3 linked regions of the Ovis aries genome follow. The protein of the gene in region 2 purifies or fractionates together with the protein of the main gene of each other region. This does not show direct contact. Links are inferred from orthologs where the notes say so. Each region holds a gene or a part of one and is shown on either strand. Other genes may lie near its edges. The genes, in order: ITCH, CXCR4 and TMEM63B.

Region 1 (4,327 bases), on a different chromosome or scaffold from region 2:
GAACCAGAGATCAATTGGCAACATCCGATGGATCATGGAAAAAGCAAGAGAGTTCCAGAAAAACATCTATTTCTGCTTTATTGACTATGCCAAAGCCTTTGACTGTGTGGATCACAATAAACTGTGGAAAATTATGAAAGAGATGGGAATACCAGACCACCTGACCTGACTCTTGAGAAACCTATATGCAGGTCAGGAAGCAACAGTTAGAACTGGACATGGAACAACAGACTGGTTCCAAATTGGAAAAGGAGTACATCAAGGCTGTATACTGTCACCCTGCTTATTTAATTTCTATGCAGAGTATATCATGATAAATGCTGGGCTGGAAGAAGCACAAGCTGGAATCAAGATTGCCAGAAGAAATATCAATAACCTCAGATATGCAGATGACACCACACTTATGGCAGAAAGTGAAGAGGAACTAAAAAGCCTCTTGGTGAAAGTGAAAGAAGAGAGTGAAAAAGTTGGCCTAAAGCTCAACATTCAGAAAACGAAGATCATGGCATCCAGTCCCATCACTTCATGGGAAATAGATGGGAAACAGTGGAAACAGTGTCAGACTTTATTTTTTTGGGCTCCAAAATCACTGCAGATGGTGATTGCAGCCATGAAATTAAAAGACGCTTTCTCCTTGGAAGGAAAGTTGTGACCAATCTAGATAGCATATTCAAAAGCAGAGACATTACTTCGCCAACAAAGGTCTGTCTAGTCAAGGCTATGGTTTTTCCAGTGGTCATGTATGGATGTGAGAGTTGGACTGTGAAGAAAGCTGAGCACCGAAGAAGTGATGCTTTTGAACTGTGGTGTTGGAGAAGACTCTTGAGAGTCCCTTGGACTGCAAGAGGATCCAACCAGTCCATTCTAAAGGAGATCAGTCCTGGGTGTTCATTGGAAGGACTGATGCTGAAGCTGAAACTCCAATACTTTGGCCACCTCATGCGAAGGGGAGGGAGGGGGGAGGGGGGAGGGGGGTTCAGGATGGGGAACACGTGTACGCCCGTGGCGGATTCATGTTGATGTGTGGCAGAACCAATACAATATTGTAAAGTAATTAGCCTCCAATTAAAGTAAATAAATTTAAATTAAAAAAAAATTAAGAAAAAAAGACTGATGCTGGGAGGGATTGAGGACAGGAGGAGAAGGGGACGACAGAGGAGGAGATGACTGGATGACATCACCGACTCGATGGACATGAGTTTGAGTGAACTCCGGGGGTTGGTGATGGACAGCGAGGCCTGGCGTGCTGCAATTCCTGAGGTCGCAAGGAGTCGGACACGACTGAGCAACTGTACTGACCGGGAGTAATCCAAGAGTCCCTCCCACCTAGCTAAATACAAGCTCGGATTTAGCTGCGCTCACCAGCCTCCGCTAGGTCTTCCTGCCCGCAGCTGGTTAGTGCGCAAGGACTTCTAGGGCTTGTAGTCCTGATAGCTCCGGAGCTGGAGGCGCCTGCGCGTTGGCCGCCAACTCGTTCTAGTAGCTGTGGTCCGGAATCGGGACCGGCTGCCATCTTAGTCGAGGGACTGAAGAGTAGCCGCCGCCCCGTGTCCCGGTAAAAACCCGCGGGCGGACTGGAGGCAATTTTGGGGAGAGGGAGGGTCCTGGATGAATACGTCGGAGGAGGGCGAGAGGTAGAGGAGTGCGGCGCGTCAGCCGGGACCCGAGCCGCGGCTGCTTCCTCTTCCCTCAGAGCCGGTGCCCGTGGTGGGCGCGGGGAGCTCGGGCTAGTGGCAGGGGCCGGGCGGAGGGGTGGCGGGGATGGGTCATCTGGAAGCCCCGAGCGGCCCCTGTTGGGCTCAGACGGTCGGAGCCCCTCTCCTCGCGGGCGCCAAGTTCTGAGAGAACTGGGCCCCAGCGGGCGCCCCCGGGGTCCAGCCCAGAGCCCGTCAGCCCCGCCCGGGGGCTCTGCTCCTGCGGCCCGGCCTACGCGAGGGGCCCCGCGGCAGCGGCCGGGGCGGGCGACGTGGCCCTGCGAGGGGCGGCGGCCGGGCCCACCTGCCACCCGCTGCCCTTCCCGAGACTTTTTGGAGCTCGCACCAGCGAGAGGGGCCAAGTACAGCGGCTGCCTCTCTTCTCTCTTCCATTCCCCTCCGTCTATTGTCCCCCAGCGTGGTGGTCCCGGCCCCGGCGTCGTCGTCGGCGCCCGCCGCCGCCGCAGCGGCCCCGCCGGCGCCGAGTTTTGCAGACGTGGAGCTGTCACTGCCCTTCCTCCTGAAAGTGCCCTTTTCTTTAGCGGAGAGAAGGAAAAAGTAGTCGTGATGAGGACAGGACTTGGTGGGGACTAAGTGGGGAACTCAAGTTCTTAGACTTTGCTCCGGGCCGCGACGTAGAGCGAAACACAGGATCTCTGCGCCCCAGGTAGACGCTGGGCCTCAAGTTAGCGATGTAACCTGGTGGATTTGCAAACTACCCGAAATCCACGATTCCCCAGTAACAACTCACCTTGTTTTCTTGCTAATGTTTGTATCTTGTTAGATTTTCCGCTGTTATTCAGCTTCAGTGTAGTTTTTGGGAGTGAGGGGTGGGGAAGGAAGAGACATTTCAGGGAATTTTTCTCTGAAAATTAACGAGGCACTTGAGCCATCCATCTATCACTGTACTTAGTTTGAGTCTTGCATGTATTCCTAATATAATTAGATCGTAGGGAAGTACTAGAGGCAGTGTATTTCCACCCTCAAAATGGGCTAGAGAGTTGTTTCTCTGCCGAAATAAAGTTCTCAGAGCAGGTCTGGTGAGAGTCTTAATCATGTATTCATAGGTTTACTCAGGTTACAGTTACTTCATTTTTAAGATTTAGAAATGAAGGTGGAAATTCACCTGCTGTTTTCAACAGTGGATATAAGTTTTTTGGGTGTGAGTCCGAAAGGAATTCCTTCATCTTCAGCATATGAGTCAAGTCAACAAGGATATGAAATAAACAAGTGCAGGATAATTCCTCAGTGTATTCTAGAGTAAATCATTTTTCCATTCCTTAAAGAAACGTCTTTACACCAACTGGAAGAGACAAACCAGTAGCCCCCAAATTTGGTCATTAAAATAATCAGGGCAGCTTTTTTAAAAGTAGAAATTTCAGAGCCTTATTTCCCGAGATTGATTTAATAGGTTTGGGTCGGCCTTGAGGATTAAAACTTGCCTCAGGCAATTTTGATGGTTTTGGAAACCTTTGAGACAATACTTTGAATAAACCAAAAGCTTTGAGATGGAAGAGGAGGTAATCAGTTGTGTCTGATTTGAGGAGGAAGAATCTGCTTCAAGCTGAAGTTGGGTCTTAGCTGAAGTGTTATTGTAATGGAGAAAGGGAAGGACAGGGCAGAGGAAACACCTCAGTACTGTTAGTAAACACAGGATTGTGGAAGATAAAAGGGAGCAGGGAGTGGGATGGGGAAGGAGAGCATTATGGATGTGAGGCAAGAAAAAAACTTGTTTTATGTTGTTAGCAATAGATACAGATTTTTTATTATTTATTTATTTATTTATTTTTAGATACAGATTTTTTAACAGGAAAATGATATTGAGTACATGTTTGCTTTGGGAAGATTGCTTTGTGGCATGAGTGAAAGGACGGAAGAATGGCTGTTGCAGTGGTTTAGGTGAGAAGTGAAAGGCTTGTCCTCATTGAGAGGCCGTGGGCATGATCAAGGGATTAAATTTAGTTCTTTACTAGTGCAATATTGTCCTATTTTTGTATGAGGATTTCTTTAGGGCCATTCTGGGTAAAAGGTTCCTTTTCTGTCAAAAGAACCCATTAGCAAATCAGAATAGTATTGCACAGTTATATATGTTAATGGTATCAGAATTTATTGTTAGCATCCTTGATCAGGTACAATTTGTAGAATTTAGAGATTAGACTGAAATTTATGGCTATCAATGCTATTGGTTTATGAGCTTTTTGGGAAGTGTTTTTTCTCCCACCCTCAGAAACTTGGTTTTAGAATTTTAGAGTTGGGGGACTCCCCTGGTGGTCCAGTGGCCAAGACTCTATGCTCCTAATGCAAGGGTTGTGTGTTCGATCCCAGTTCTGAGAACTGGATTCCACATACTGCAACTAAAGATTCTACATACCACATCTGAGACCCAGCATAGCCAAATAAATAAATAATACATATTAAAGAGTTGGAAGAGATTGTAGAGATTATCTAGTCCACAGTAGCAGATACATTTTGATTTATGGGCCAACTTTCACTTGAAGTAGCTGCCAGAAGCCCTGTGTTGAGAAGGATTTTAATCATAAGGGTTCTCTGGGAAAGTGAGTTATGATTGATTAGTGATGACTCCTGTGGACACTAGTTATCTAGTGGTTGGTATCAATATATGTGCCAGGTAT
Region 2 (4,059 bases):
AAGGATGAAGGAGTCGATGCTGATCCCAATGTAGTAGGGCAGCCAGCAGGCGAAGAAAGTCAGGATGAGGATGACTGTGGTCTTGAGGGCCTTGCGCTTCTGGTAGCCCTTGGAGTGGGACAGCTTGGAGATGATAATGCAGTAGCAGGACAGGATGACGATACCAGGCAGGAGAAGGCCGACCACGATGTGCTGAAACTGAAACACCACTAGCCACAGGTCGCTGGGATAGAAGCGATCACAGATGTACCTCTCATCCGCTTCCTTGATGTCGGCAAAGATGAGATCAGGAATAGTCAACAGGACAGCGGGTAGCCAGACACCAACATAGACCACCTTTTCAGCCAGCAGCTTCCTTGGCCTCTGACTGTTGGTGGCATGGACGATAGCCAGGTACCGGTCCAGACTGATGAAGGCCAGGATGAGGACACTGCTGTAGAGGTTGACGGTGTAGATGACATGGACTGCCTTGCAGAGGAACTGCCCAAAGTACCAGTTTGCCACAGCATCAACCGCCCAGAAGGGAAGTGTGAGGACAAAGAGGAGGTCCGCCACAGACAGGTGCAGCCTGTACTTGTCCGTCATGCTCCTTAGCTTCTTCTGGTAACCCATGACCAGAATGACCAATCCGTTGCCCACTATGCCAGTTAGGAAGATGATGGAGTAGACAGTGGGCAGGAAGATCCGGTTGAAATGGGCATTTTCCTCCCGGAAGCAGGGTTCCTTCATGGAATCATAGTCACCTGAGCCCAAGTCATCCTCAGTGTAATTATCGGAAGTGAATATCTGAAAAACAGGCAAGGGAACAGACATTCACTTTCAAGTTCAGCAGGTATTCTCCGAGTTCAAAACAATGTTTCTGGTATTAAAAAAAAAGCAATTTGTAAAAACCAACTCAGTCCAGCTTTCTTCAGGAAATTCTGCTCCCACTAAAGTACCAGGGTAAAAAGGATAAGGGAATTCTAGACTCCTGCGGATCTCCTCCCATCTTCCCCCACAAGTCACTTCATTACATCCCTCTTTAGGAGAACCAATTACAAAACTCTTTGTTTAAAACAAAACGGCGATGAGAGTCTTCGGTTTCCTAAGTTACATCCTCGCTAACTCTTTTGCCCCGCCCACTGGAGAGAAGAAAAAACCTCCGGGGCAAAAAACCAAAACACAACACAAAGGCGGCGTGGGAGCGTGGGTGGGAGTGGGGGAAGAATCTCGTGTTCTGAGGGGCTGGGATTAACTTTCTCAACGAAGATTCGCCAGGATAGGGAAGCCGGGAGCAAGAAGCACTGGGGTGTGTGTGTGTGTGAAAGGGCGGAGTGTCCCAAAGATTCTTATTCCAAGGCATGAAACACTGTTTTCTCCACGACTGTCTAAACACTTATCATTCTGCACTTCAAGCAACACGTAGTGAGGAAGGAGAATGCGGCCTTGAATGAAGGGCTTTGGTGCTTGGGGGCAGGATTGTCAGAGTGGGTAACCGCCCCGACGCCCGCTCATGGGCGCTCTTCAGGGCCGTTTGTTTCTTTGCCAAACCCCTGTTTATCACTTGGCGCGTTTGGGACGTTAGCGAGCACAGAATTTTAATGGGAGGGGAAAGTCACGGGGTCTACACCCGTGGTCCTCGCCCCAAGTTTCATTTCCTCACTCTCCCAAGTCGCTTCCCATGCCGCCAATGATGCAGTAAAAGGTGGGAGGTCTGTAGTGGGAAGCCTCCGGGCGGAGGGCACGCTGGGGACAGGGTGGTCCAGCTCCGTCACTCCCGGCTGTCCACCAAGCCCACGCCTGCCGCCCGCCCAGTGCGGTTGCGGCGGTTTGGCCCCGCCGCACGCCAGGGGCAAGTACTACTGGGTGCTGGGGAGAGGTTGGGCGTCTCCGCCGCGGGAGCCTTTGAATCGCCCGCCGCTGGGGGAAACGAAAAGCCTCCCTAGTAAGGGGTTTTCAAAAGGTTCCAGGAAACCACCGACGGTTGAATGGCGCTACTGGGCGCGGTGAGAGGCAAACCGTCTTCCACTTGCACCTGCCTGTCTGCACCGCAACCACCGGCGGCCCAGGTGCCCTTCCAGCCCCTCATTCCACCCCCAGTCCCCGCCGCGCACACTCGGGGTGCTGCTGCACTGTGACCATTTATACTCCTTTAACTTCTGCACGACCCCCAAATTCCAGAACCCAGGAGCCCACTCGCGGCGCTGGCGACGCCCGCGAAGTCTCTCCCTCGATCCCAAGGCGCGAGGGCTGTTCCCAGTACCTCCCTGCTGCGACCAACGCGCAGACAGCTCAACTGAGCGACAAGTGCCCAGCCATTGGCACAACTCCGCGGGTAGCGGAGTTTAGTGAACACGCGCCCAACGCCTCTGGTAACTCTGCCCGGGAGTACCGCCCTCCACCTCCAAATTCAGATCGTGTTATCTGCTCCAAAAGAAACCCCCGCTCCCTCGAGGAAGAGACCCACGGTCTCTGACAGAGCACACATCTCTGCACTTTTCCACAGTGTTCTTCTGTTTGCAAACAGCGTGCAAAACCGGCGCGCGCCGCAGAACTCAGGGGGAGATACATGCAACCATTGAAACGGTCGTCCCAGTCTTTTCTCCTTCTACTTAAAAAAGATTTCAGTCCAGCATGCCTCACCCCTCCTGTAGCCAAGCGCACGAAATCTCCTTTCTACACCCTTTCTCCGGGCACTGGCACCTGCAATAGTCTGGTTGCTCCGGCCCACTCAGAGAGCGGTTGCGCTGTAAATTCAGGTGTTTGCACGTTTAAGAAAAAACAGGTTGAAACTGGACTTACACGGATCCCTTCCATGGTAACCGCTTGCTCTCCAGCCGCGGGGGCTACCGGCTACTCAAGTCCTCAGGGTCACTTTGCTACCTGCTGCCACAGCCAACACACTGAAGTTTCTGGCCGAAGCTGGACTTTTATAAAAACACGCTCCGCGGGCGGCGCATGCGCCGCGCCGGTGGGCGGGAGGGCAGGGCGGGGAGAAAGGCGGGGTGCAGGAGAGGGGCAGACGCGGGGGCGGGGGACGCGAGGGAGGGGCGGAGGGGTAGGCCCTCGGGCAGCGTAAGCCTGGGAGGCCCTCAGCGGCTACCTTTAGCTCTACCTCGAGGTCACCTCGTGAGTCTTAAGCTGGGAAGCTCATCCTGGAGGCGTGTCCCAAGTTGGGAAAGCAGGATGCGCTTGGAGGAGGTGGAAAGCGCGGGCGATTGACGCGCCCTGTTCTGTCCTTGCTCACGTGGGTGGTATTGCTGACCCGGGAAAGCTACAGATGTAGACACTGAGGTCCAGAGAGGGGAAGTGACTTGCCGGAGAAACCCGACCAGCAGGCGGCAATGCTAGCAGTGGGTCCAATATCTTGAGTCCATTCCCTGCTCTTTGAGCAGATGCAGTTCATTCAGAAAATGAAACAAGTAAAGATTCTTTCTTCAGAGCACAACTATATATAACTAGACATGCACATCCACCGTAATAGTGCTAGAGTCAAGTGTCGACAATCAGAAAACATTTTCAGACGAAGGTCGGATGATTTGGCATAATTCTGGAGGGAGATAGTGATAGAGAAGTAGATGTGTGTTCCCGGGTAACCAGTTCGTGAATAGTGCTTTTGAAAAAGTTGTGCTGTGTTATAAGAGATACTCAGCGAAGAGTACTTCCCTAACATGTCACCAGGTAGCTGCACAGATTCATTCATTCTCACAACACCCTGTAGGTGTTATCATTACAGAGATGCATTTAGTCAACAGATAATTTAGTGAGGGCTGACTGCATGCCACGCACTGTTCTAGGAGCTGGGGAAACAGCGGTGAACCTGACAAGGCCCCCATGCGGAGGAAACAAGAAACAGATCCGCAGACATGCAATTCCAGGGTTGCCCGGAGATGACAAGCCTGACTCAAACCCAGATCTACTGGCCTCACATCCGCTGTCCAACCTAATGTGGAGAACAAGCGTTGGCAACAGTAAGAAATTCGGTTGGAGAGCTGGGCAGGGTGGAATAAGGGTGGGGGCTGGACGCTTAAAGGTATCTCAGACGGCTGGGGTTTGCAGTGGTCGCTCAGACAGTGCTTT
Region 3 (3,606 bases), on a different chromosome or scaffold from region 2:
TTCTCTCATACTGACCAATGATTGATGAGCTAATTATAGCTGTTGTTCTGTAAACTGTGGGAGGGCAGGACTTGTTTCTAATTGATTTATGCCTGGCACACAGAAGGTGACCAATAAATGCATGTTGAATAAAAAAGAGGATTCACTCAAAAACCCTGGTCACAAACCAGTCATTCGGTAACACAGGGGCCTGGGATCCAACTCCAATCCCATCCTGATCCAGGACAACTGACTGCTCATCCAGGTCAACCGACCTCACTAAATCCTGATCCTCACCAGAGACCGAGCCCTGATCCAGACCACCAATGGCCCTAGTCAGGACCTCCGGCCAACTCCTAATACTGTCCCCAGAGACTGGCCTCTAAAGCTGGCCTCCACACTGTGAAGCCCTGAGAACTCGATGGTCTTGCACTCATTTCTGTAGTCCCCAGGCCACCACATGGACCTCAGCAGCACCTGAGAACAACCGCTGAGTGGACAGATGAACAGATGCTGTATACAGACTGTTCTGGCCACTGGAAGTGAATTTCCTTCACTTTAGTAAGACAGACTTCTGGCTAAAAAGCACCTCAGAGAACATGCAGCCCAGCTCTTCTGGGCTCCCTGAGGATGCACTGAAAACTGAGAACCTTCTCCCTGCCAGTCCGCGTGCACACAGCCTCCAGAACACCATGCACAATTCTGAGAAGGCCACATCCTCAAGGGCCCGTGGACCCAGGGTCAACAAACCATGACCTGGTTCAAGCCAGGAGGAGGAAAGGCCCAGGGACTCACTTTTCAAGTATTTCTCCAGCTCTTTGAGGGACCTGAAGTCCAGCCCAACACCTTGGAGTCAGAATTCTTTCTTAGCATAACCCCCTACCTTGTACCACAGCCCCTGAGCCCCCCAGGAGAGAGGCCTGCGATGATGCTCTTGGAGCTGAAAGAAGGCAAAGAAGGGTCCACGGGTCCTGGGGTTGGGGACAGGGGGAGGAGCTACTCACTCAAAATGCTTCTTGATCTTCTCTGACTCTGCATATTTGGAGATTCCGTTGATGAAGAGAGTTCGCTTCACCTGGGGAGTGAAGGGGGCCAGTTTGCCTTCCTGAGGCTTGACCCTCAGAGAGGGGGTGGGGAACGGGGAAGCAGAGAGGGACAGGTGGGATAAGCAGACCTCGGCATAAGCCAGGGGCGGTGTTTCTAATAGAAATCAGACAGTGAGCAGAGTGAAAGCCCCCTGGCCTCTTGCCCCCTGAAGGCTTATGGGGGTGCAGAGCGGGTACTACTTGCAGATTCTCAGACCCTGAGGCCCCAGCAGGGTGGGTGCTTGGAGTGGGTGTTCAGTGCTGGTTTGGGGAATAAATATAGGAGAAGAGGGACAATCACTCCCACAGCCATTTCCTGCCCCAGGCCTTCCAGGCACGGCCTTGCCTCATCCCCCACCCACCTTGGGAGAGGGACCATTCTCACCTCCTACAGAGGAGGGGACTGAGCCTGGGGGAGGTCACTTAACTGGCAGGATGGGGGCTCCTGGGCTGCTGAGCCAGGATTCAAAACCAGCTGGCCTCACCTGGGTGCTGACCACACCTTAGGACTCAGCAGGAGAGTCCCCGAGGGTGGGCTGGGGATGGGCCTGGCTCCGCTGCACTCACCAGGTCATCCTCCTTGTAGCGCATTTTCGAGGTGTGTCTGCGCATGCTGTAGACGGTGAGCAGCAGGTACAGGAAGGCGAAGGAGGTGTGCAGCCATAGCAGGTTGTTCCTGGCGGGACAGAGGGGGGAGCGGGGCCACCAGGGCTGGGAACACTCGCAAACACCCCCAAACCTGCCAGTGTCCATGAAACCCTGGGGGACTTCCCTGGTGGTCCAGTGGTGAAGAATCCGTCTGCCAGTGCAGGGGACACGGTTTGATCCCCGCTCTGGGAAGATTTCACACGCCGCGGGCGCTGCAGGGCAACTGAGCCCATGCGCCACACCTACTGAGCCCATATTCTAGAGCCCACACTCCGCAATGAGATGCCACCGCAGCGCAACCGGAGGAGCCCTTGCTCGCCACTAGAGAAAGCCCACACACAGCGACGGAGACCCAGCACCGTCAAAAATAAATAAGCATTAAAAACAACAACCCTGGTACAGGGCCCCTTAGAGACTCGGGTCCTCTGACACCCTCCCAAGGCAGGCCCCACACCCCACATCCTGACCCCAAGACTGTCCCATTCCAACCACACTGTCCCCAGAGGTCATCTCTTCACGCCCTCCCTGCTGGGTACACTGCCCTCTAGCCACCACCAGCCAGCCTCCCTGGGAGCCTCTCCTTCTGGCTCCATCCCAAGCCCTCAAGGCCCCACCGTCACCTCTGCAGCCTCAGTTACCTCTCCCCCAAACACCCCCCTTTTTCCTCCGCTCCCCATTCCTATCCAGACTCTGCCCACAGACCCAGGCCTCGCTTGACCAGCTTCCCACTCTTACCCTGATTTCAAGTTGGCAATGGTGGTTCTCCCAAAGCTGTAGGCATTGTTCTCTGGGGGGTGGGACGAGGGAGAGGATGACGGAGGGGTCAGGGCACGTCCCCTTTTGTCCCCTCCTCTTCCCACCACAGTGGTCCTGGCCCTTACTGACCCAGCAGGTCCCCTGAGAAGTTGACGGGCAGCACGATGCCTACAGAGAGGACACCCACGGCCACCAGCAGCCCGATGATGTGCCGCTGGAAGGACAGGTAGTGCACGGCATCGCCTCCACATTTGTCCCGGATCTCGTCATCCCTGTGGGCACCGGGGATGTGGTAAGGACCAGTGTGCCGGAGGGGCCATGGCTCATCTGCCCTGGCCCACCCCAGCCCACGTCCACCCTAGCCCTGGCTGATCCGGCAGCAGGATGGGGTTGAAAGAGGGGAGGTGGGGCTCTGGGTCCCCTGTGTCCTGGGAGGGGAGGGAGAAGGAAGTGAGAGGGAAAGGGAGGGAGAAGAAGGAAGGATTCAGGGAGAAGGGGAGGGAAAGAGAAAAGAGAGGAGGAGGAGAGGGATGGGGGAGAGAGACAGAGAGAGAGAAGAAAAACAAGGCACACTGCAGAGAGGAAGAGCAGCAGGGGATGGGGAGAAACGGAGGTGAGAGGACAACCCGAGGAGGGCGGACAAAGGTGGTGGCAGGGGGAGACAGAGGCGGGAGGGTGGAGGGAGGTCTGGGAAGCAGCGGTGCTCGCCCTTAGGCGTGGGGAGCCCTGGGCACCCACGGGCCAGGACGGTGGCGGTGCTGACCTGTCCCGGCTTCCTGCCTCTCTCAAGGCTCACTGCCTGCCTGCCGCACTCTGGCTCCGTCTCCTGACTTCTGCCTGCTGGAGACTGGCTCCTGCCTGCAGCTGGCTGGCTGCCCCCAGCCTGCCTGTTGCCCCTACCCGCTGGCTGCACATGGCTCTGAGGTGGCAGCGTCCGCGCCTCCTTGCACAGGGCGGCAGGGGCGAGGAGAGCTGAGGGCAGAGCAGGCCCCCTAGGCGGGGGAGGGGCACAGGAGACTGTTGGGGGGTAAAGTGAGGCTGGCTCAGAGGAACAGCAGGGGCCTGGGCCTCCGGAACAGGGAGGTGGGTGCTGGCTTGGCTAGGAGCGCTAAGGCCCTCAGAGATGCTGGCCTCTGGA

Evidence for each region.
Region 1: the proteins of CXCR4 (region 2) and ITCH purify together in Homo sapiens (affinity purification with western blotting; 5 studies listed by BioGRID and IntAct, with this or other methods). This does not show direct contact. The link is inferred for Ovis aries from reciprocal best matches to the Homo sapiens genes CXCR4 and ITCH.
Region 3: the proteins of CXCR4 (region 2) and TMEM63B purify together in Homo sapiens (co-immunoprecipitation; 3 studies listed by BioGRID and IntAct, with this or other methods). This does not show direct contact. The link is inferred for Ovis aries from reciprocal best matches to the Homo sapiens genes CXCR4 and TMEM63B.

Annotation. Positions count from the first base shown.
Region 1 is NC_056066.1:63,780,618-63,784,944, forward strand, and holds the start of ITCH (E3 ubiquitin-protein ligase Itchy homolog), read left to right. Parts: upstream 1-1,478; 5' UTR 1,479-1,707; exon of another isoform or gene 1,708-4,327. UniProt on the Homo sapiens protein: Acts as an Acts as an E3 ubiquitin-protein ligase which accepts ubiquitin from an E2 ubiquitin-conjugating enzyme in the form of a thioester and then directly transfers the ubiquitin to targeted substrates.
Region 2 is NC_056055.1:174,726,322-174,730,380, reverse strand, and holds the start of CXCR4 (C-X-C chemokine receptor type 4), read right to left. Parts: upstream 2,851-4,059; 5' UTR 2,797-2,850; coding exon 2,782-2,796; intron 787-2,781; coding exon 1-786.
Region 3 is NC_056073.1:17,652,250-17,655,855, reverse strand, and holds part of TMEM63B (CSC1-like protein 2), read right to left. Parts: intron 2,741-3,606; coding exon 2,598-2,740; intron 2,500-2,597; coding exon 2,448-2,499; intron 1,741-2,447; coding exon 1,632-1,740; intron 1,055-1,631; coding exon 984-1,054; intron 1-983. UniProt on the Homo sapiens protein: Mechanosensitive cation channel with low conductance and high activation threshold. Osmosensitive cation channel preferentially activated by hypotonic stress.